2 linked regions of the Struthio camelus genome follow. The protein of the gene in region 2 binds, or shares a complex with, the protein of the main gene of each other region. Links are inferred from orthologs where the notes say so. Each region holds a gene or a part of one and is shown on either strand. Other genes may lie near its edges.

Evidence for each region.
Region 1: HEATR3 (region 2) and RRS1 share a complex: the UniProt entries of both Homo sapiens proteins name them as parts of the hexameric 5S RNP precursor complex. The link is inferred for Struthio camelus from reciprocal best matches to the Homo sapiens genes HEATR3 and RRS1.

What each region holds. Positions count from the first base shown.
Region 1 is NC_090943.1:132,524,064-132,535,729, forward strand, and holds RRS1 (ribosome biogenesis regulatory protein homolog), read right to left. Parts: upstream 4,402-11,666; 5' UTR 4,319-4,401; coding exon 3,239-4,318; 3' UTR 3,072-3,238; downstream 1-3,071. Other genes in the region: ADHFE1 (hydroxyacid-oxoacid transhydrogenase, mitochondrial), read right to left, coding at 855-916. UniProt on the Homo sapiens protein: Involved in ribosomal large subunit assembly. May regulate the localization of the 5S RNP/5S ribonucleoprotein particle to the nucleolus.
Region 2 is NC_090951.1:16,812,846-16,826,064, reverse strand, and holds the start of HEATR3 (HEAT repeat-containing protein 3), read right to left. Parts: upstream 5,742-13,219; 5' UTR 5,736-5,741; coding exon 5,601-5,735; intron 5,447-5,600; exon of another isoform or gene 5,311-5,446; intron 5,047-5,310; exon of another isoform or gene 4,655-5,046; intron 4,479-4,654; coding exon 4,306-4,478; intron 3,531-4,305; coding exon 3,443-3,530; intron 2,343-3,442; coding exon 2,230-2,342; intron 371-2,229; coding exon 261-370; intron 1-260. Other genes in the region: CNEP1R1 (nuclear envelope phosphatase-regulatory subunit 1), read right to left, coding at 7,443-7,484, 7,770-7,824, 7,961-8,070, 8,852-8,925, 10,357-10,428, 11,857-11,881. UniProt on the Homo sapiens protein: Plays a role in ribosome biogenesis and in nuclear import of the 60S ribosomal protein L5/large ribosomal subunit protein uL18 (RPL5). Required for proper erythrocyte maturation.

The sequences.
Region 1 (11,666 bases), on a different chromosome or scaffold from region 2:
TACAACTTACACCTAGGTGCTTACGGTATGCGACTCACAGACCACACAGACTGAATAGGTGCCCAGGAGAAAGGAAAAGGATTTCAGTAAAGTGGATGTGATATGCCCCGGCCTTCAGTGATGCTGCTGAACGTGAATCAGCGCGCGCGAAGCGCTCCTATTGCGTTGGCGGCAGATGAAAGGGAGCAAGGCACGCAGATGGTGAGAGAGGTTAGTGTTAGACACGAAAAATTACAGCTCCGCTAGGAGGGAGATGGGACAGTAACAGTGTAAAAAAAGTACTACGCATATTAACATTCTCCTCCGGTGTAGCATCAGCGAAGGTGAGCAGGGCAAAGCTAGTTCACCTGCCCCGTTAGGGAAGCCGTGCCCAAAGCCACAGCGCCGTGAAGCACCGAGAGCCGCTCACCGCAGTCTGAGATCAAAACGCTCTGCTTTCGTATCTAAAACGGCGCGAATGCTTGGCACAAGGCTGCAGGGCGACGGCTGCGAGGAGCGCGCAGCCGGCCAGGCCTCGGCCCCGCACCGCCACCGCTCGCTCGTGCCGCTCCCAAGCGGCCAGGCCGGTTCTGCTGTGCAAAAACCAGCCCTCGCCGACAGACCGCTTTCTCCTATCCAGGTTATCCTTGCAGTTAAAGAAAGGGGTGGGGGTGGGGGGTAAAAGAATATCACACAGCACACGAAGACACCTTTAAAGCTTGTGCGTTATGACCGGAGGCCGAGGCAAGGCTAGTGTCCCCCCCAAAAACTCCTCGGCCTCACACGCCGCGGCCATTTCACCACAGAGCCGCCAACGGCCGCAGCCAACGGCCGCCCCCCCCCACCCCCGAGCCCGCGCGCCGCCCCTCACTCACGCGGCGCGCTGCAACTGCCGCAGCAGGCGCGCGGCCCGCTCCCGCCCCGCCGCCGCCGCCATCGCCACCGCCGGGGGCTGCCGGGAGGCGGCGGCGGCGGGGCCGCCCGCTGCCCTCCCCCGCCGGCCGTCCCGCCGGGGAGCGGGCAGTACCCACCGGTTTAAAGGTCTTCTGCGAAGATAAGCAGAGGCGACGGCCGATGTAGACGCGGCCGCCAAAGTTCAAACGGATTTCAGCAGGGACTGCGCAGCTTACCGAAAGCAAGGGCTTGTGCAGGACGGGTAGGTAGCTGGCCTCCCAGGAGGAGATGGTACGGAAAAGTTGCTTATAAAGTACTGCTGGAGAAAACGCGTGGTTGAAATGACAGCTGTAAGGCTAATTCAGGCTCCCAAAATGAACGCTGCAAGGTCAGCCTGATATATCCGGCAAAATCCAACTGATACCTGTTTGAAGGAGGGCAACAGCGCGCTAGATGCCCTATGAAATTACATGGAAGACATGGAGCAAATAAAAGCATATTCAAACTAGCTGTTCAGCACACTCCTCCTTGCTCAACTCGCAACACCGATGAGGTGAAGTTTATGACTATACAATTTGTGTATAATCAGTTTGTGCTTCACCTCTTCAAGTTTTGAAACGTGAAATTATTTATAAATTTCAGAAACCGGGAGCACCCATGAAGCAGTTTACATTGGTCTTTACTGATTTTATAATCACTACTGAAAATCCACAAACTATCAGCATTTCTGTAGACAAGTCTTTGGCTTCAGAAAATTCACCAGTAAAATGTGGGTCAGCAGTATAAAATACTTCTCTAAAAAGAAAATGCTTTCTAGCTGAGCAGGTAACAAGACATATCCTATGGAAACGCAGGAAAACTGGAAGTCTAGAACCTATTTCAGAACAACTGTTTCCACATTTCCAAGGACTTCTCGCCTCTGTTGCCTTGCTAGCTGTGCTGAACAGCTGGTTTCAGTGGGATGACATCCATACAAACACCGCTGCCAGCGGCCAGTCAGAAGCAGACAACAGTGGTAAAAACTACTTGACACAGCAGTACGAAATTTTTAAAAGGCTAAGAATAGATATTTTATGTAAAGCTGACAGAAATTCACCATTATACTCAGTGCATTAATGCCACTGAAATCCTTCAGTACCAATGCCTACTCCTTCCAGCCTGACCACTATTCTACAGATGGACCTTTGGCTTTTTAATCACACTCAATTGCCATCTCAGCAAGCTCTTACTGTGAGATGAAAGATTAATTGCTTTAGAGTTATTCAGCCCTTCCAGGAACACATTTGCAATAGAGTGCTATGATAACAGTCTTAACTACTTGAAAGTTTGAGAACCTACTTTACTATCCTCATAGCAGGAACTGGCTTCAGAGAAGGAGACCATCCTCCTTCTTGTAGCTAAGTCACATAATAGAACAGCAAATTTTATTTTTTTCATTTCAAGGGTACAGGAAACACTATATTTAAAACGGTTATAAACAAGTCTTAGATCATATCTAATATCTGTTTGCAAACACTTTGGTAAAGAAAAAACACTATGAAGCTATTTTTATAAAAATGATGACTTACTCTCAGGAGATAGTACAGGTAGAAATTTGGGAGTTTTTCCCTGTTGTGTGATGTGAACATTTATCTGCTGAATTCAAGGCAGGTCAACAGCTTTTTTTTTTTTTTTTTTTTTTAAATCAGCAGAGGTTTATAAAATCTTTGTAACCTCTCAGGCCCTGCAATAAGTCTTACAGGAATAGCTTTCATGCCCCTCCTCTCACAACCGAGCCTGAATACCACTGAGTTGACAATGACTTGCAAAGCAGGAGCTCCACAGTCAGGCTACCTACCCGCAGCACAAAGCAAAAGGCAGTACCTCATCCTTTAACTGCGCAAAGCAAAAGGCAGTACCTCATCCTTTAACTGCGTTTCTCTTTGATCACACCAGCACTTAACATACCAGTTACCGCCCTTGAGTTGAGTTCCATGCCCCAATCTTAGGTGTTTCTCACTTAAGAGCAACTTGACTGCACAGGGACTGAGGTCTGTCTCAAAATGCTGCAGCCAGGGCCAGCTGTGGAGCTATCTGGCTGCCCCCATTAAAGCCCCTAACCTGGGGGTAACTGGGGAACTTGACTCTGGTGATATACCACCAACTCCTCTTAGAAGAGGGACGCTGCCCTCCTTGACTGCTATCCAAGAGCCAAATGCTGATTTTAGAAAGACCAGAGCATATTTATTGACAAATAGGTGTGAGAGCCGAGCACTGGGCAGGAGGCTGTCAGCAGCAGTCCCTTCCTGCCCCTTGGTGAGCAGCCCCGGCCCTGAGTCGTGCTCAGCCCTGCAGGCCACTCTGTCCCTCTGGGTGCCAGTCCACCTCATGCTTTCTTCCTCTTGCCACCACCACTGCCCACAGGGCGCTGCTGCCGCTTGCCGCCACTCTTCTTGCTGCCGCTCTTCTTGCCACCGTGGCCGGGCCGCTGCTGCTGCCGGCGACCGCGCTTCCCCCGCTGCGCCCGCTTCTTGCCCTTGGCGGCAGCCGCCTCGGCATCCTCCTCGCGGAGCTGCTTGTTGACGGCACGAGTGATGTCGAGGGGCGGCTTCTTGCTGCTCATGCCACGCAGCAGCTCCAGCTGCTGGCTCCGCTCGGCCGCCAGGTCACCCAGCAGCGGCGCGAAACGGCGCTTCTTGGCGCCACGGGGAGGCGGCTCCGCTGGCTCCTTGGGCAGCCGCGGCTGAAAGCGGCCGAGCGAGGCGGTGGAGAGGCGGGCGACGCGGGCAGCGTGGCCCAGCTCAGCGCGGCTCTGGTGGCCCGTGGGGTGGAGCGGGGCAGCGGGCACGGCGGCGCGGTGGGCGCGCGCCAGGTTGCGCAGGCGGTTGAGCTCATTGCGCGCCACGCGCTCCCGCTTCTCCCGCCGCCGCTTGGCCAACTGGTCCTCGTCCGGGTCGGCGCCCGCCGGCACCTCCGCCGCCCAGTCGCGGGCCGGGTCGCCGCCCGCCCGCCGGTAGCCCCAGCGCCGCCGCCACTCCTTGGCCTGCTCGTCCCACACCAGCGAGGTGCGCTTCCGCCGGCGGATGCCCTTCAGCCGCGCGAACTGCTCCCAGCGCGTGGGCGGCCGCGGCCGCGGCGGCGGCTTCTCGCGCGGCAGGCGGAAGGCCGGCTCCGGCAGCTGCGCCACCAGCGGCCCCGCCGCGCCGCCGGCGCGCTCGGCCGGCAGCGCCCACAGCTGCGCCACCAGCAGCTGCGTGTTGTCGCGGGCCAGGGCCCGCAGCAGCGCCTCCCGCCGCGGGCCGGCCCCGCGCAGCCCCGCCGCCGCCGGCGGGTTGCGGTCCAGCGCCAGCAGGTTGCCCAGGTCGAACTCCAGCTCCAGCTCCTTGTGCACCGCGATGCTCCGCTGCTTCTCCGCCTCCTGCTCCTCCGCCGCGGCCAGCAGCTCCTCCACGCGCACGGCCGCCATGGCGGCGGAGCGGAGCGGGCCGGGCCGCGCCGACACGTGCGGACAGCTCGCGCCGCCCGGCTCCGGAAGTGACCCAGCTCCGTTCCGGGTCAGCGCGCCGGAAGCACGTCAGAAGGGAGCGCGGAACCACAAAGGGAGGGGCGGGGCGGGGCGGGGCGGGCCGCGCGCATTGTCTTCTGGGAGCTGTAGTGCGCGCTGGCCCGGCGCTCAGCCCGCGGCGGCGCGCGGCATTCTGGGAGGGGCAGGAGGCAGCGCTGCATTCTGGGAGCCGTAGTCTCCGCGCAGGCCGTGGGGCTGCGTCGGGGCGGCCCGTTGCTCCTGTCAGAAAGTCTCCAGCTCTTCTCCCACTTATTTAATGATCAACATGACTTGTGGTCCAGCCCTCCCCGCAAAAAATCCCCAGTGAAGTTGCCAGGCGCGGGTTGCCCTTGGCTAGCTGGGGGTAGACGCTGCCTGGGCCGGTTCGGCCCAGCTGGCGAGCGGGGCTGGGGCAGGAGGGGCGTGAAGAGAGCTGGCGTGTACAGGAAGGCCAACGCCGAAAGCGCGTTCGCTGCCTGCAGCAGGGAGACGAGGCCAAAGCAGGGCACGCAGAGCACCCAGAACGCAAACTGGGCCTCGCCGCCTTCTGCTGCTGCGTAAGGGGTTGCGCGGTAGCACTCAAATATCCGGCAGGTTAAGGCTGAGACATGGGGAAATATCCTTTCTGTTTTTATTGCAGCGTAACGTTTAGGTGTCAAAGTCACTGCTAAAGCTTAGGCCAGGCAATGAGTGGCCTGATCCCAACCCCAGCGCCGAGGCTGCTTCCCTCGCGACCGCCGCCGGCCGCCCTGTGACACCAAGGGGAGAGGAGGTGCGCGGGGAGAGCCGCAGCACCCCTCAGACGGCTCGTCAGGCACGATGAGTGAGGTCGTCGGGTGATACCGCATGCACCAAAAAAGTCAGCCAGGTCAAAGATACTGCCGTGCTATTTTTAAACAAATGAGATACGGCAGAATCCTTTTACAGCAATAGAGCATGCAGTGATTTGGCTCGTATGGTCATGACGTTTTGAGCTGATCTTTGGTGCCCTAAAAACAAGCTCATGACAGGACTTCGCTGCAGCCAACAAAAAGTCACGGGAATTATTATACTGGATAGAATTTGCTACTGAGTTAAACACGTCCCCTCCCTTAACTTGTGTCTGGGGTGATGGAAATGATTCTGAGTATAATGTCACAGCTGTATTTTTAGAATGAAAATAAAATGTTGCTCCTGTAAACTGATTCCTGGAATCTGTTGCCTAGCATATCACATCTTATACTGTATAATTATAATTATGATAGAATCTTTTTTTTTTGTTTTTTTTTTCAACCCAACAGGTCTGAGTGTGATTCAAGCACTACAGAGCAGCAAATTCCCTATGCATTTAAAACCTAATTAGATGCCATAGACAGTTTTCCCGTTTACCACAAGATGGCATTGCATTGCATACTACTTTCTTCACTTTCCTGGACAGCTCATACTTTCACCTGAAATTATAGATTAAATTAAAGACAGTTTTCAGAGATGTACATATACTATTTTTGACACAAATAAGTTCAGGCATATATTTATACTTTTATACTGCATAAGCAAGGGGCACTGTTGGGGCAGTCGGTTGATACCTTGGTCGCTGTACTGTCCTATCTTATCCTTAGATAGCTAGCTCTTTGGGCTCTTTTGGTTTATATTTGTACAAAGCCCAACAGTCTTCAGGTAAATGACTCGGATTGAAGGGACATAATTGATAAAATTTATTACACTTACAAAATTGGCTTGATATTTAATGATTACTTTGTATCGACAGAATAACAGAAGGAATGCATGCCAGGAATTGGTCTTCATGTTTCACACGATAGCATGGAGCTTCTAAGTTAAAAATTAAAATGCAAACAAGCTTCTACCCTCCTCCAGGTTTACTCAGCGCAATATTGCCTGCTGTTCAAATCTGACTACAAAACCATTACTGCTGACAGGATATTATTGAGTTGAGATTTCAGAATGTGCTTGGTAAGATGGCAGTTGGAATATATGAGTGGATTTGTAAACCAAACAGAATTTGTAAATGGAATCATATTTTAGGAAATTATCTGATGGTGAGAAGCAGCTTCTGAGATGGTCGCTTTAATAATCCTAGTCATGCTTAGAATTTATAACTCTCAGTTTGTAGCTGAGAATTACAAGCAGGCACAGAGCTTCCCTGAAGTGAATAGGCATGTGTGTAAGCTTTATTAACAGGCTTTTGCAGCAGATTTTTTAAGGGTGAATTTTTAGAAATGTTTGTTCATTTTGGTCCTCTCCACTTCTAGGTTCCTAGTTTCAGAATCTCAAGTATCACATTTCTCTAAGTGCTTGTGGCTGGATTTGTGAGTGCTCAGCCATGGCGCTTGAAGGGAGTTTTCCCTGATTGGAGGCATTATAGTTCATAGATACTTGCACAGTTTCAGCCTTACCCTCTCTTTCCTTTGGTTTTCTCTCTCTCTTCACCATGAATTATAGTAATCTGTAACTTGTGTGTGTGTGCATGCGCACATGAGTGTGTGCGTATGCTTACTTCCTTAGCGTTTCCTAACTCTCGGAACTGTGAGAAACTCAGGCAGAAATTGGATGCTGTGGCAACGTGCAGGCTTTCTTGGGGGTAGAAAGCTGTAATTGCTTTTATTGCAGTTAGCACCCTCAAGGATGATGCACACTCCTGAGGATGTAGTACAGAAGTATGCATGTGGCTGCACAGCTTTCCTTACCTGAAGTTACGGGGATGTTTCAGATCAATACGTTTTTCTTAGTTCCTCAGTACATGATAGGTCTGATACAAAACCCCAGGATGAACATAGAGGGTACATTGGCATGAAGAGTGCTATTATCCTTTTTAATACAATTTGTTGTGCTTTTGCATTGCAATTCTTTCCGAATCACTATAGCTTCAATTTTAAAGAGACACGGTAGATTTAAGAACCCTGGAAATATCAATTAGAGTTAATAGTTTCAGGTTCCTCTGAAAATCCTATCCTGTTCTCATACATGAAGCCTGATTTTTAAATATGGCTACTGCTTGACATCTGGACACCTAAACAATGTTAGCTAGTCACATCTGAAAGTCTGGGATGTGATCCTTCAGATTATGAGCGCTCTCAGTTTTCAATCAAAAGCCCACCGCTCATGCTAGATTCAAGAGCTGCTTTAATACCAAAGGTTGCATAATGGTTTTTGAAAAGCACGTACTCTGCATGAAAAACCTAAGATATAATTTGTAATGTAATTTGCAGAAATACTTGTCCAAAAGATGAATAGAAAGCATGATGCAGGATATATTTAATGCACAAAATGAACTACAATGTCAAAGTGATGTAACGTTTCTTTTTTTTCTTCTTCTATTAGAAAAATTTTTTTTTTTAGTTTCTGTTAGGCTGGGCTACAACTTTAAGTCTGTATAAAATAGGAATTGTTCTAATATTCCCTATTCATGTCTCACCTTTTGTGATACCATTAGCTTAGATTTACTCTTCAAACTTTTGCCAATTACCTCTGGATGGCAGTAGATATAGTTAGAAGATGATTCAATCCATTCTTAAGCCTGCTGTGAGGATCATTATGAAGAACACTTCTATCAGGAAAACCCAAAGTGCTGGTAATTTTGGAAAATAGTAGAAAGTGCCCTTAAAATACCCACACTGTCTCCAAATCATTCCTTTTCACTGATTTTGTTCAGAACACTTTGAAGTAAAATCTACATTGTAGGATTTCTTCCAGTAAGGAAAAAGCTGTTTGCTCACTGAAGCTAAATTAAGTAAAAATTAGTACTACAGCTTGTGGACAAATTCCCCATACATTTTTATCCCAAAGTGTTACAACATACATCTATGTCCTATACAGGTGTTTTTGCAGTACAAATAATAAAGCTTAGTAGGTAAATAATTTGGCTAATGGAAAACGCTTTCCTATTCACTGTTCCTATTCGCTGTGAACAAACTATCTGCCAGGAGTAAACAAATAAAAAAGGCTTGTGCTACAGTCTTTTAATGACTACAGGCATTGACTTCAGCAGTATATAACAAATATGCCTATTAGTTATGGCTTTTGCTGTTTAAGAAAGAACTATGGCTGCAGGTATTACAGACAGCAGGTAATTCCTTCTCATGGCTTCACTGAAGCAAGCCCTTAACCTAACAACGCATTAAAGGATATACTTATTTTTGAGCATGTGGATTGTTCCATTGATGTTAATGATGTTAACTCTGCTCACATGCTTAAAAACTTTCCTGACTGAGTTGTAGATGAGCAGGGTTAGACAACATTTATTGCAGTATTAGCAGAATTCTGTATTTGAGAAAAAAACCCTGAAGATGAAACTCAGGAGGCTGTAGCTATAGTTCCAAACCCTAGAACTAAGTAACTGGAAATGCAATTACAAGCAAATACTGAGTAGGGTCTGATTTCTGGTTCAGAAGCCAAAACATAGATAGCTGGGGAGACAGCATTCAGATCTGGAAGACTACAGACCTTGTGGAAGGTGATTGGTAGACTGTAATTTATTTTGATCAGTTAACTGGCTATGACTGTGTGGTTTCACTGAACTCATTTTGGGTAAACAAAACGTAAACTAAGCTAATCTGAGGCCTTCCCAAGCGCACGATGCCTATCTGGCTGTGCACTGGGGAATCAGGCTGAAAACAGATGGTGATATGTTTTGCTATTTTATGAGCTTTACGATGACCTTTTTTTTGAGAAAGTTTTCTTGTAGCGTGGCCTTAATACTGAAAATATCAACAATGGTGTGGCTTGGTCTTGTTAGAAGTCTTTTTAGGAGAATGCAAAGAATGGAGTGAAGCCTTTATAAGGCAGTGACGGAAAGAATGGCAATGTAGTAACATACTCTTTTTCCAGGGTCAGTATCGCTTGTCACCTTTCCAGAGCAGAGCTATACCTTGGCATGAGATTACTTACACAAGTTTAAAAAAAAAGCTATTGAACATGTTGCCTTCTTTTACAAAGAAATCTGTCATGCAGAGATTTGCCCTAGATTAAGTCTACACTCACAGCCAGAGGAACGAAAATGGTTCATCTGTTCTTGAGTTGGGTTCCTGGCTGGGAATTTCACCGGTGTTGGAAGTGAGAAGAAGCATGGATAAGTATTCATCTATGACACTGAGGATGTGCCATAGTCCCTGCTGATTTTTGCTGACAGAAGGACACAAGGGAAATCAAATGGAGCTGTGGGTTCAATACATGAATTTGAGATTAGGATAAATTCCTGTATGTTTGCCAACAATGACTGCGTCAGCTCCTATATTCTAATGCTTTTGTGAGTCAGAGGCAATCCGTTTTCCAGAAGCGTCCTTTAGTTTAAAAAAAAAGCTTGGGCCGTATTTCCAATAGAAAATCTCAGCCTTTTATGTACATGTACAAATATCACGTGCATGTTATTAAGCCTCTCTTGCATTCACATGTGTGGAAGAGTTTTGAATGATGATTTTTACCAAAGAAAAAAGGATGAGACCTGATGCCAAAGCAAAACAATGCACTGCGTTTAGGATCACATTTTTCAGGGACTTATACCAGCCTTAGGGAATCTGCAACTTTGGGCTAAGTATAGATCCGAGCATCCTTTCATACAGCCCAGAACCTCTTGAATCTTCTCCCCATCCTCAGCGGGTGGCATGGTGATGGATGCTGAGATGCTGCTTTCCAAAGCTGTATTCAAAGCCTTGGCACTACCTGGCACTCAGCAAGGAAATGGTTCCCCATACCCAGTTTATCTCCTTTTATCCTCCACATTTTCATTCATCGTGAAGGCTGATCAGTCAGGATGGAGTTTTGTGCTCAGTGTGTTTTCAAACTACTACATTCTTAAAGCTACCTTTGACATCAGTGTTATGAAATGCACGTTGAAGGTGGTAGGATCGGCAGTGGGGAGCATACGTGCAGGTCCTGCCAACAAGCAACAAAAGCATTTGTGTGTGCGACTATGCCTCCCACAAGCTACTTTGATAATGTACCCTGTAGGTGTCCAAGTAAAGCTACTAAGTGCTGTGCTTCAAATGTGATGCTTCAATTACATCAGTTGCAGTCACTTCAGGATCTCACTAATACCTTTTCAGTTGACAGTTATCAATTGAAAAAAAAAAATCTGTGTTTAAATCTTTTTGCACACAGTAAAACAGCACTTTAAAGGTTCAATCCAAGATATTAGGCAGGTTTTCATCCACATGTAACCACAAGTGACTCATGTAAGACAAGAATCATCTATAAACTTGTACGTGCTTGTACCTGGGATGTGTGTTGTGGTTCCGAATAAATTAGGACAATTTCTGTTAAACAAATATTTTTCATTTTAAATGTCATAAAACCTAAGGCTGTGACTATACGTCATTACCCAGTGACAACAGATTTGGTTTAAAAAGTTCTTGCACAGAAAAAAAGAAGTCCCAGAGATTAACTGAGTCAATTCACAGGATTTAGACTGTGGCCACCAAGTAGCTGAAGCAGCGTAGCCAAAGGAGGTAGCTTCAGGGTTGGAATGGGAGTGTGAATGAGTGGCGAGGCATTTGAGCTGGAACAGCAAGCTGCTCGACTGGATTTGCTACTGTGGGAATTAGTGACAGCCTGGCTTGCAAAGGGGGCTGGTCCCTTCGAGGAGCAATTGTGGTTCATGTCTACAGCAGTCTCCCAAACCCGTTATTGGTGAATTGTCTTCTGCAGAGATGTCATAACTGTTCATGCAGGAGCAGAGATCACCCATAACTGCTCATGGAGCAGCAGAGCTCTGACAAAGCTTACAGCTTGGTGTATTAAGGTGAACCGGCAGCGTTTTGGGGTTACCTTAATCTTATATACTGTAAACTATAGAAGTTGCTACATGGGCTACTCATACATTCCTGCAAAGGGTTTGGAGCATGTCAGAGAGGTGGGGTGGGCAGCTGGCAGCAGAAACAACTTTGGCCATCCGAAGGTAACCTTCTCGCTGGTGTTGGAACAGAACCTGCAAAGCCAGAGCAGGAAATTCCCTGTCCTGACTTGCAGTTGGGGCTCTTGGCTCCTCTGAGGGGATGAGTGATTCTCTGAACTGTCCAGTGCCTCCTTCATGCCATCATATAACCAGATGAGCCATTCTACACAGTGCATCCTTATTCTTCTAGTTTTCTGCAGCATGTTTCTGTTCATTAGTTTCTGTACTGTACCAAAACAGTAACATGGAACAGAATCTCATTTTCCAAAATCCTTATATGGGCACAGCAGGAACTGGTCAGTTTGTAACTTCACTCAGTTAATGAGGAAATTTTCCGGGGTGGGGTAGCAGCATTCAGGAGCAATAAAAGAGGATTCCGGAAAA
Region 2 (13,219 bases):
AAAACTTTTCCTCCCATGTAACCACCAAATATGCCATTCCCCTTTAAACTGAAAACAAGCACAACAGATGTCAACTTCTGAATGATCTACTGTTCAGATAAGAAATTTAAAATTTTATATGCAGTGTGAACTTTAAGCAACACTAAGCCAGGTGCGTTATTCAATGGATGTGACATCAGTGTTACATTCATATAATAAAGAAAATTTTACATATATATATATATATCTTTAGATCCTTAGCTTCTCTTTTTGTCACTTACCAACTGAAATAGCCAGATCTACATTTGTGGAAAATTTCTTCATATAATGTAATACAGCCTCCAGACACCCTTCTTTATTGAATATGGATACTGCTGTATTGTTGCATTCACTAACACAGAAAAGAGATTAATAAAACACTTTTCCCAGGAAAAATATACTGTAATAAAACTTCAAGTAACATGTACTCAGCATTTCTAGCATTTGTATTTTAAAAATCCACCTAAGAATTACACATTAGTCCCAGAGCTATCTTTCATTATTGAGCTTATAGTGAACTCTTCATAAGAGTGGTGAGAGGCTAGAATACCCTGGACACCTTTGGGCAAAGCTGGCTTCTGCCAGCTACTTCTTCACACTTGCTTCTGGAGTTTAATAGCCTAAACACAGTCTCATGCAAACAGACAAACCAGCACGAGCGTAAAAGGCAATGCAGCTTATAGCCGTAAGCCAGACCTGGGCTTTCGGCAGCAGTCAAACCCTTCATCTACAAAGCCACTGAGAGCAGAGAACAACGAGCAGTTGCCTTTCACATCTAAGTAGTCATAAGAGTCTAAGAACTCTAGAAAACTCGTTTCTACTTGACATACAAAAGTGCACACTTTTGTAGACAAACAATATAAAATGTGCCATTTAATTGGGTAACTAGCTGGATTTGTATTTCTTCATATTTTTACAGCTATTTCCATTTTTATGCCAGAACATTAATATGAGACAAACTCAGAATAAAAAAAAGCATAGGACCTAACTAGCTATGCGGGTCTTCAAAGATTTTTTAAAATGTTATTGCTCAGCATCAATGCCAGCTCAAATTTTATCAGTACCAAACTTAGCAATGATGCCAGTGGTTCACTGTCATTGCCACAGCGTTCAAAATACAGAAGTGATTTATAGCACACTTAAAGATCATGGTCCTGCTCCAAAGCACTTCTGTCTGCAAAAGCAATAAAGAAATGAACACAAAAACGGATAGTTGAGTCACAGTTGCAACAAGGGGTCATATATTCTGTACAAGGTGCCAAGCAAGCAGTTTCTGTACTGTTCTAGATTTCAGTCACGAAAAAAACAGATTTAGAAACAAGGCCTCAAACCAGCAGCCGTTCCATACAGGCAGACATATAGGCAGCTCCCCTGAAGTACTGTACACCGTAAGACAAACTCTATATGGACCAAAGCGTGTAATGACATAGAACTGTAACAATACCGAATCGAAATCAACAGCAAGAAAATAAAGTTCAAGGACTACTTTTAATACACGCTTGCACTGCTTCAATGTTTATAGCTCTATTGGTATTAACAGTGTTGCTATTTCTCTTAGTTCCATAAGTAATTAACATTAGAAACACTGAGCAAACAATTCACATTTTTTGTCACATAATGAAGTGGACTTGTGCTAGTGCCCAAGTCACTAAGGAGTAGTTAGTCCAAACACTTGATATAAACTTAATATAAGAGACCTGCACAGAGATGAAGAAGTGAAGAACTCCTCATATTCCCAGAGCAATGCAGTCCACTGATCAGAAATTAATTTGTTCTATCTCCCATATTACAATAAGGATCTACAGGAACTACATGCAAGACCACAGAACCCCAACTGTACAAGTGTCTTCAAAGAGACGTTGACAGAACACTCTCAGAAAACAACATCAGAATTCAGGATGAGCAATCAATGGAGATAAAATTACCACACTCCTTAAACAAATGACCAACTTGGTGCACTTTTAAAATCCTTCACTTACAAAAGCAATCTACAGGGGAAGATAACAAATATATTTCAGATCAGATGAGGACTCACTATTTATTATACAAAACACGCATAGGAGCAACACGATCAGAAATGAGAATCGGCAACTGAATAATCTTCCCCTGCAAGGAGAGCTACTTCCCTTCTGCCTCAATTACCATGTAAAACTTTTTTAGGGGCAATCTAATTTAGCTCTTCTAAGAGGCCAAGGTTAACACAGAACTTACCACACATTCCACAGCAAGTTAATAGCCTCGTTGGCTATGTCTTCAACATAATTTTTGTTCATTTCTCTGCGTTTCTTTGGAGAGAGCTGATTAGCATCTAGTCCAGCGCTACACTACAACCAAATAAAAAAACTGGGGTTGGGAAACAAACAAGCCAAGAGAAAAAACAAAAGCCTAAAAAACTTTCAAAGCAGAAGAAATTTTGAGATCTCTCATCAAGTGTTTAATAGCAGCAAACCTGACTGTTTTCCTCTTCTCCAGGGCCACAATGGAATCGAATCATCGATTTCTTTCCCTGGTAGAAACAGACTCTCTTACAGTACTTGTTCTGCATTCAACAGTCTCCTGAAGCTTTTTTTTTTTTGTTTTGTTTTGGCTAAACAAATACTTAGCAAGCTTAGAACTGAAACGCTACTTCTTGTTAGTATAGTTTTTCATGCAATTTGCAATAGTTCTAATCACAGAGACTAATTCAGCTATGTATCTTGCTATGCTTCACAACAGTGCTACTACCTGTATTTTATAATGGGGAAGAAGCATACAGACAATGGTGGTACTGCTCAAGGCTGCTCATATGAAGAGCAAGGAGAGAGAACTCAATGCAATTCCTAAACTGCACCTGGACAAAACAAAGAATTCAGTGCAGATTATACAACAGCAGTAACTACCCAACTGTAAATGAAAGCATTGATTTAGACAACACTCTTTACAACAACAAAAAAGTCACCAGAAAAAAAATGATGCAACCTAAATGTTCGATCCGAACACTGCCTGACAGAATAGGCTGGTCTTGAATAAGATTCAAGACTAAGAATCTCCAGACCATTTATGCAAAAATCATCTTAAGCAGCAAACATCATCACTGACCCAACCCAGGAGGCCAGGAGACAGAAACAAATGTTTGCTTGAAACCTCTAGCATCACTTCAGTACTATTTTTCAAGAAGTTGCACAGCAAGAGTTGCAGCAATGTAAGTTCACTAACAAATCCTAACGATATAATGATGATAAGATATATTCTATGAATCCACCTGGCTGGCATTCAAAGTGTATGGCATTTACACTCCTAAAGGTAAAGGAACGCTATTTAATCTACCAAAAGGTTCCTTTAAAGACCTTACCTTGAGAATAGCTACAAAAGTAGAACTATTTTTGAGAAGAGGATAATTCAATAACTAAATCAATTTTTTAAATCTGAGCAAAAACAAACACACCTCTTTCAGAAGTGCGACAAGGGGTGTCATGATGTCTTTTGTCACCATGTCATCACAGACTTCAAATCCTCCACAAGCACTGAGATTTCTGGGAAAGATGAAACACTTTGGATCAGATACAGTACCATCTATGAATGTTTCAAAAAAAAAAAAAAATCATGCATTTATTATTGCTTCTCTTAAGGTTATGATCCATTTTAAAACAAAATGTATCTGCTTAATCAGTAACTTTAGCCTTCCACCTTTCTAACCAAAAATAAGTTTGGTTTCAGAAAACAAAACAGATTTCACTTACCCACTTCTCTGAACTACAACATGACTTCTGTCAGCTAATTACTCAACGAGTATAAGACGCATCACAAATTAGCTCTATTTCTGAAGCAAATGCTAACACATTTTTGTACATGTTGGTCTGAATGCAGAACAGCAACTCAAAACAATGCTATCAAATATTCAGAAATTTTGGGGAAAAACTAGGTATTCGCATCGTCTAATCCATCGTTCCTGTCATGTTATCGAGACAGGAAATACCACAGCAACAGCACTCAAGTGCTCTCTGTTGCTTCATACAACAGGGTTTTCCTAACATAAGCACAGGTTACAACGCGTTCCACCGCAAGGAGGTAAAACGGTGGTAGCTACCTCAAACCCTGTTCCTGCTCCGAAAGCCTGGTGGCACCCTGCTGGAACGAGACAGACCTCTCTTTTGTGGATCTCAATATGGCGAGTCATGCGCACTTAATCACAACAGAGATAAAACAAGAGACTGACATTCCAGTTCATGAACTCTAACAGCAGAAACCCACTCTTATTTACCATGCCCAGAGCACCTCCTTCTAACTCTGAATATTGTAACTGCTTACCGGAGAGCCCCTGCTGCTGTCTCACGCACAGCTAAACTGTGATCTAGCAACATAGGCCCCAAACACCGGACAACATCTCTCTGCAAAAACGCTGGGATTACATGCTTCTGCTGCAACAGTTTGGAAATACTGGCACAGGCGTACTCTCTCACTTCAGCACTTGGATGCTGTAGCTGCAGAGACACAAACAAGGCAGAATTGGGGAGGAGAATGAAGCTGGAAGGTTTTACCGAGTGAAAAAAAAATGATCTGCCTTTTGCTTTGCAGACCACAGCACTGTAGCTCCTATTTTATCACTCCTTAATAGAATCAAGAGCTTTTAATCTCCATGAAGATTTTAATTCTTTACCTGGGTTGTGTGTGTTAACTACATGACTGGATGCATCTTATTCTGGGTGTTGAACAAGAGAGCCATTGTTTAGATACAGACTTGACACTAGCAAGACCTCGTTCCTAGTTTTGATGATCATGCTAAAAAGAACATATACACACAAGTGGGGAAAAATACCATCAAACAGGTGTAACGGACATAAGAAACGGTACTGATAAAGAAAGACTGAAGAATTAAAAAAAAAAAAAAGGCAAAGACATAATAGTCCTCACTATAAAAACACCTGTATAGAGAAGAACACCTGCAACAGAAATTTAGGTTTGATATTAGAATTGCTAACCAGAAAAATAATAAGACAGCAGAACTGACTACACAGGTGGTTATGGAATTTCCCTTATAGAAGAGGGGTAACAGAGAAGGTGAATATCTGCCGAAGAGAGTGGGAAGGAGTGGTAAACCAGCTCCTGCCCCACTGGAAACACGGAGAGAAGCCTCAGTACCTCCCCACTCCTGCACACTTCTGTTTCTACACTTACTTTTTGACTTTAAAAAGTTAGTCTGGAAGAATAATGAAGCAGTGACTTGCTCAATCAGTTCAGTTAAGTGAACAAAGAATTAAGAAATAATTAAAAGGAAGGAATACTTAAAGGAAAACAGAGATTTTTACTTGATACCAACGTAACACGTGCACATGAGGGCTTAAAGTGTAATTTTCATCAGCAATGCTTAATCCCAAAACAGAGGAGCACGGTGAGCAAGTGGCTACGTCCAGTCTTTTTCAACACGGCATTTTCTATCAGTAATTTCCTCCGTGGGGGGTCCGGGCTCGTTGTCCCCTCTGCCTGTCCGCCGGAAAACCGCGGCAGCCTGCAGCGGCAGCCGCTGCCGCCGGCACCACCAGCACCACCAGCAGCAGCAGCAGCACCCCGCCCCGCCGCCGCCAGGCCGCGGCCGGCCGACTCACCTTCTCCAGCAGCTCCGCAGCCGGCTCGTCCGCGGCGCCGTCCTGGGGGCCGCGCCGCCGCCCGCCGCCCGCGGGGGGCTCGCCGGCGGGCGAGAAGGGCGCTCGGCGGAACCGCCGCGCCCTGCTCTTCCCCATGGCCCCGCGCCCGGGCCGCCGCCGCCGCCGCCGCACACACGTGGCCGCCCGCGCAGGCGCCGCGCCGCCCAGCGCCGCACCGCCCAGCGCCGCGCCGCCGCCTCCCGGCCGCGCCGCCTCCCGGCCCGCAGCTCCCAAGGCTTCTGCCCTGCCCAGATGTCTCCCCACGTCCGGGCAAGGCAACCGCGGAAGGAAAGAGCGTTTCCTGCGCGCCCCCAGAAGACAGGGCCGACCTGTACCACGGAGGGCTGGCTGGACCGCCGTCTCTCTCCCGCCGCGCTACCTCACATTATCACAATCGCTTCCAGGGACCGACCTGCCTTCCCTACGTGCAATGTTACGGGCTTCACTTAGCAACTTCTGAAGTGTCCTGGGCTCGTTTCACATCTGCATTTGCACAGTACGAAAGAAAACGTCTGTTTATAGGACGACTTTATTTTATACACATTTACCTACAAAATATACAGCAGCTAAAAATAATGGAAGGGCAGGAGAAAGAATTACTGGAAATAATAGAAGATCGTTTTTAATGTCTCAACTGACTTTAAAAGGAATAAAAAAAAGGAATATTGGTTAAGCCAATAGGTTCCCTTTAAGGGGCAGTCTTGCTTGTAGTTATGGGTTATTAAACTTGCAGTGGCTTTGCAGTCTTAGTCAATTAAAGGAGCTTGAAACAATTAAAAAGGCACCTTGAACACTTAAACTCTTTAAACTATTTACAGTGCTAACTATTCAAGAAGTTACACTTTACGCATATAACATGCGCATCTTGTTTTTAATACTTGAAATAAATTCTGTTATTTTGTGGCACTCTCCATAATTCACCAAATAATTTGTATCTGAAGTTATTTCCAATACTAGTCTCATATTCTGACTATCACAGACTAAAAATCCACTCAATAGTCTTGGGGAATTAAGGTACAGTACAATCTTACAATCTGGAGGATGCAAGCATATTCAAGACAATTTAAAAATATTAAAATCTGATTAAAACAGCAGTGTCGTGAACCAGATCAAACAATGAGCTATGTATAACCACAGTGAAAGTGTCTGGTGCACTATAGGTACAGTTTGACAAATGAGATCCTCTGTCTATTTGTAAAGTTCTTAGACAACACGACCAGTTTTCTCCAGCACAGGCAGACAGGCAGCCTTTCTGCAAGCCTTTTAGCCAGTTCCAAAAATAGTGACCAGGAAACACGGACAGCTGTAATGAGTAAGTGTGCTAACAAAAAGTCATGGAAATGGTAAGTGATCCTTACAATACTGTTCAGGAGAACAACAACAACAACAACAAAAATCCATACAGCAAAATATTACTCTTTTTCTCTGAACATTGGCATTGATCTGCTATTTACAATAGTTTACAAAGACACATAACACAAATGAGGTTTGATTTTCAAGTTCAACTTTCTAACCAGTTAACATACTTCACCTGCATGCTTTGTTCTAGCTGAAGTAAAAAAGTGACACTAACACTGAAAAAAGAGGTAATCAGAAGTAGCAAGAGCACTGATAATATGGTAACAAAGAATTTGGATAAATATTCAAGAAAGTAATATTGCACACTTTCACTGTCAACTGTATAAGACTTTTGCTCCTAGGCAATGACAACCAGTCCTGTTTGGTTTTTGCTGTCATACTACCTGGAAAAAAAGGTCATTTTTGGTTTCCATGGCAGTGGAAAAAACTGAAGGAAGATGACCCTTATTGAACATGAGGCCTAGGTTTCAGAATTAGTTTTCCAGTCTGCAAAACAGAAAAGGAAAATAAAGTTTAGACCCTGAAAATTTTGTCTAACAATAATACTTTGAGTTCAATACTACAGGCTAAGCTTAAAATGACACACGGAACAATACTGAGTATTCTACATTCCACTTACACAGACACATTTTTTGTTAAAGTCTGTGTATGTGTGCGTGTATATACACACATAGGCGTTTACACACTGTACAGAGAAAAAGACTTGTGCATTTTTTTATTTATTTACATCTTTTTTAAAAAACGTTTAGGCAATGAGCTGCGAACACTTACATCATCACAGGACATGTTATATTCTGCCAAAACAGTTCGACATCGGGCTGCTATACTGCATGGCTTGCATCAAGGAAAATAGCTAACACTTCTACACACTCTAAGTCAAAACAGAAAAAGCAACTTTGACAGAGGCTTCAATAACAGCAGTCACTACCACATTTAACCTGACAAAGACGATCGAAGGATACATTGATGGTGCCACCACTCTTTTATGTATTCCAGCAAAGAACAAGCCTATTAGGGTAATACAGCTAATTGTGAAAAACGGATGGTTCCAAAGTGATGTGAAAAATGACACCTAGGAAAGAAGTCAGATTAGTTCCAGGATAGACTTTCTAAAATATACAGAAAGTTGGTGTCTAGTCACTTGATTCAAAGCATATTGCTCTTAAACATGTCTGTGTACTTGTGAACAATTCTTTAGAGAAGCGGTCTATTAGTAGCATTTTTCCAGGCATTGTCCCAATATGTACTCCATAACAGTTCCAGAGAGCTTGAGAACTTAACTGAAAACATTCTCCCACTTTCACAGAATGCTTTAATTAAAACAGACAACGGAACGAAATATTTTTTAAGAACCAGATCAGATTATACATCTACTACCGAAACCTAATGGTCTTCTACCTAAAGTTTATCCATTTGACAATGACTGCTTTGGGCGACTTTGCAGATAAAATTGAGGCTCCTAGACAAAAACAAAAAACGACATCGCACAGTGGTCTATGACATTGGTTTGCCTGTGTTATTCTCAATTTAGTTTTTATTATTCACAATCACGTCACGTGAGCTTTATAAGCTATCTAAGGGTTGGTCTCCAGTGCTGTTGTCCTAGAAATACTGCCCCAGAAATCAGAACAAATGCTGCTGCCTCATGGTTTTGACTACACTTTAGATAGCACCTACGTGGCTCTATCCTTGCCATGTTAAGTGCCCAGGTACAAAACCCATCTTTAGCCTTGCGATCTTCAAGATACTGTAACATCTGACTATAGCACTGGACTTACTGTACAGATTACTACAATTCTACTGCAACACCAAGTTCGGAAACAGATTACATTCAGGATCAGCATGATCTTTACCTTTTGCGTCTCAGGGTCTATTAACCAGTTCCAAGCACCAGTTGCCGTGCAGACGGATACCACTATCAGAATCACTGATAAAGAAAAGAACGAGAGTCATAAGCAGCATAACTCCCTCATAGCAAAAGGCATTTATCCTTCATTAGAAACTTTAAGCGTTTATTTCTTCTCCCACTTCTGAAGGGGGAACAACCTCTGCTTGGAAGGTAGAGATGAAAACAGGCAAAGAAAATTTCTGTTCTAAACAGCAAAGATTCTGTATAAGTTTCCAGGACAGGACAAACAGGTACCAAAAACTAAGTTCTGCCAAGTGAAAACATCCCAATGCTTCAAAGAAATGAAAGTTTCTAAAATAACAGAGCTAGTAAAAAAATATACAAGCTGGAAGACTGGAATAAGAGTTGCACCAAACGTTCTTCTTCAGTCTGAAATTTGAGCTCGTATATTCTGGGCCACAGAAATGCAAAGCCATTACATTTCAGAGCAGAACTAAAGCTTCTGTCCTGATCGCTGTTCAATATAGGAAAAGCCTGAAGAATTAGCACCAACAGTTTAAGTTGAACATCTACAGTCTTTTATGCTTTCTCCATCAACACACTTATTAACAAAGAAAGCTGACAGAGAACAAAACAACATTTAAACAACAGTTACAAGGTATGTTATCATTAGCACATAAAGACTAACAAAAACTTCTACGCATCCTGAATGGCTAGGAAGAATAATCAGTTCACTATCAATGAAAAATGCTAGAGATAAATAGAGTAACACAAGATACCAGACTGACCTAGAGACTTGAGGTGGGGGACAGTGCAAAGAGGAAGGCAAAAGAAACAAACAAAAAAAAATCAGAAAAATACATAAAGGTACAGAAAGCTTAAATACCTATAAAACCTTACAACTTTCGTTGCAAGTTTGGCGGCTCTTAGTGTTTTTCACAAAGCCTGAAGTTTTGCATAGAGGTAAAATGTTTTACTAGGGCAAATGAAGAAAAAAAAGGAAAAGAACAAATAGGAAAGCCAAAATCCAGATTTCAGCCTTCAAACACATGGAATCTTGATCTCGCTTTTCAAACTCTGGCTAGAATATTAGTTTTAAACAACATATCTGCAAGGACAACTATACAAGCCACTTTTCACATCATGAGACATAAAATAACTCCTTTAATTTTTTGCAAGCTTTTCAAACGGTCAAATTTATGTTTAGCCGGTGGTGGGAATGCTCATTGGGACCCACTACATTGCTTCCAGACAACAACCAGGCAAGTATTAACAACGCTTGTCATGCTGCTTTGCCATTGTTTACTAGCCTGTTTTATTTTAGCTCTAAGTTAACACATTAGAAGCTTCCTGCAGTATGTATGTGCCTGTGCACATGCCAAAGAAACTGTAAAAAGATTTTAAGCACGAATTTTTGTTAGGGTAAACATAAACGAAAGGCATACATGAAAAATGAAAAACACTTATCAAAGAGACAATCTTATTCATCCCTTAGAACATTAAACTTACTTCTCCAACGTCCTGTAGCTGGTTGTAAACATGCAATATATTCAGTAAGTCTTCTTTCAAAGGCTTTGAGATCTGAGGAGAACGTATATCAGGCACGATTAGATCTTCATGTGTTTAGCCCAGCTTTAGTGTAAAAGTTGCAAGGAATTCACTTGCTCCATTATGCACACCCATCTCAAACAGAAAGAAAGTGAGAAAACCAACTCTCTGATCATTCAAATGACATAAAGGTAAAGTCAGAGCAGCTTTGCACAAATCCAGCTAGAGAGTGTAATGATGAAGTTGCACTAAATGCAAGAAACAGTCCTACTTATGAAAGAAAAAATATATATAATGACAGAATCCAAAGACGTCATACATCACTTGTTCTTTAATAATACCTAGACGTAGATTTAGAATAGCTTAAATAGCCCCTCCGCAACGGGAAACATGTCATACTTCTGAGTATTAAGTATATCAGGAAGCTATTAAAGTTCTATTAACTACACACTGGTGAAAAAGAGTTTCATTGTTTGCAAGCTGTTCAAGGGATTATTTGCAGCAGCGTGGCCTTGATGACTTTGCTATTTACCACAAACCTGGTATGCCACCTGCCATTAGAAATAAATTAAAAAAAGAAAACCACACACAGCAGACACCAGGCCAAAGATCTTCCACTTTTGTTTTTTCTCCTTCAAACAAATCTCTGCATAGGGCTTTTTTTTTTCCTCTTATTGGTATCATTTTTTAAGACCTTCCTATTTAAATTGCTGCTAATTCCAAGCAGCATTTCAAGTTCATCGTCCTAATTCATTTACAACATTAGCCAACCACGTTTGTCTACAAGGAGCTGTTTTATCTGCGTTAGATCTAAGCATCTGCTTAATGAGGTCAATATTTGACAATATGCTGGTGAAAGCTAAAATTCTACCTGGATTAAAGCTTTTATTGGCATAAAAATACAGGCCTTCAAATCAAGTGCTTCAGTTAGCGCAACTGTTGGAAATGTTTTCTTTCAGCTCCTAACTATTGCCAAATTATTTAAACTACCTTCACAAATCAATTAGAGGAGATTAGAAGACATATATCTATTACAACGGTCACTGAGCCAGTTTTCCACATTTTAACTTTATTCCTAACGGGTTTGCAGGTGAATTCAGAGGGGAAAACCGCAGCACCTTGACCTTACCCACACCGCAGCTAACTACCTTTCACTGCTGCCAGCAGCCCGGCAGTCAGGGCCAGGAGCCGGGGCTGTCGGCTCCCTCCGCTCCTGCGCCCGCCGCGCCGAGGCGTTTAAGCCTCTGCCGGGGTTTTTTGGACACTGAAGCACCGCTCAGGCCCTCGGCACCCTGCCCCGCAGCCGAGCCCGCGGCCCTGCGCTGCGCGCCGCGGGGCCCCGTCCCGGCACGAAGGGCGGAGCAGGGCAGCGCCGCGGGTGCCGGGGCCTCACGGGCCGCCTCGCCCCGCGGAGCGCGCTGGGGCAGCCCGGCACCCTCCGCCCGCGGCCGCCCCACTCACCCTCGGCCTGCTCCAGCGAGTTCATGGCGGCCGCAGGGGGCGGGCGGGCACCCAGCACCGCCCGCCCGCCGCTGGCCCCGCCCCGCCTCCCTCAACAACGCCGCGCCCCACTGGCCAACCCGCCCCCTCAACACGCCCCTCCCCAGCAAGCGCAGCTCTCACTGGCTGCCGCGGGCAAGGGGGCGGGGGCGGCCGGCCCGCCATTAGAAGGCGGCCGCGGCGGGAGGCGCAGATGCTGGAGCGGGTCTGTGGCGGGCGGGCCGGCGCGGCGCTCCGCCTCGGTCCGCGGTGGTGCGGAGAGCGGGACGAGTGGCTGTGCCTGGGGCCCGGGCTCCTCGGGCGGCGGCGGCGGAGCCCTGCGGCGCGGGGGGAGGAGGTCCCGGTGCAGGCCTGGCCCCCTCCGGTCCGCTCCTGCCGCCGGCCTGGGCCCGTCGCGGGGCCTGACGAGTTGGTTGTAAGCCCTCCGCTTTCAGCGTTAAAGGTAACAGTGTGGGAGCAGGGCTGCCGAGAAAGCCGGGCCAAACCGTTGGGCGTCGGACGGGGGCCTTGAGGCGTGTTTGCTCTACGTTGCCGAGGAGTACTGGCTCCTGCAGACGCTAGCCGCAAGTGAAAGCTGCGTTGGTGCCTCTTGGTGCTGTTACTTAAGAATGGGCTGCCGAAACTGGCTACTTTTCTCTCTAGTCCGGTGGTTTTGTCTCCATCTGCTGGTAGAAAGTCATATTACTAATTTGGAATAACGTTCTTTTTTTAAAAAACAGTGACGAAATAATAGAGGTACTTAGATTGTCCTCAGCCCTGTTGTGTCGGGTGCCTGAACTAAATCTGGCTCATCTCGGTTGCTCTTTGGCAGTGTTTAGTATGTAAAGGATGCTTATATCCACCAGAGCAAGTGACCAAAAACAATGTTTAAAAGCTGGTGGCATGGGGGGGATAGGGCTTTTCATACCTTGGAAGTCTCTTTTAAAACATGTGGGTCAGCAGTAGTGAAGCCTAGACCCTCACTGTTTCCTGCTGTGCCACCGAAGGTACAAAGGTAACCTGTGTGTTCCTTTTTGTGAACAAAATTTTCCTCTGTTACAAAGTAACTTCATCAATGTCCTGGGACCAAAAAATCTATGCATTGTTGTCTCTGTCTTGGCTCACTAGTGTTGGAGGCTGGATTGACCCTTTGTGGTTGTCAAAGGGACGCACTCTATGCTTCTGAAGGAATTTTTCAATGAGTATAGAGGATGCGGAGGGTGGTATGCAGAGGGGTGGCAGTCCCCTCCTTCCACTGCTGACCTCCCTCTCCTCTTCCCCAGCCTGTCTGCCACCTCTCCTGTTCCCTTCTGTTCTCCCCATTTACACTTACTGTGTCGTACTG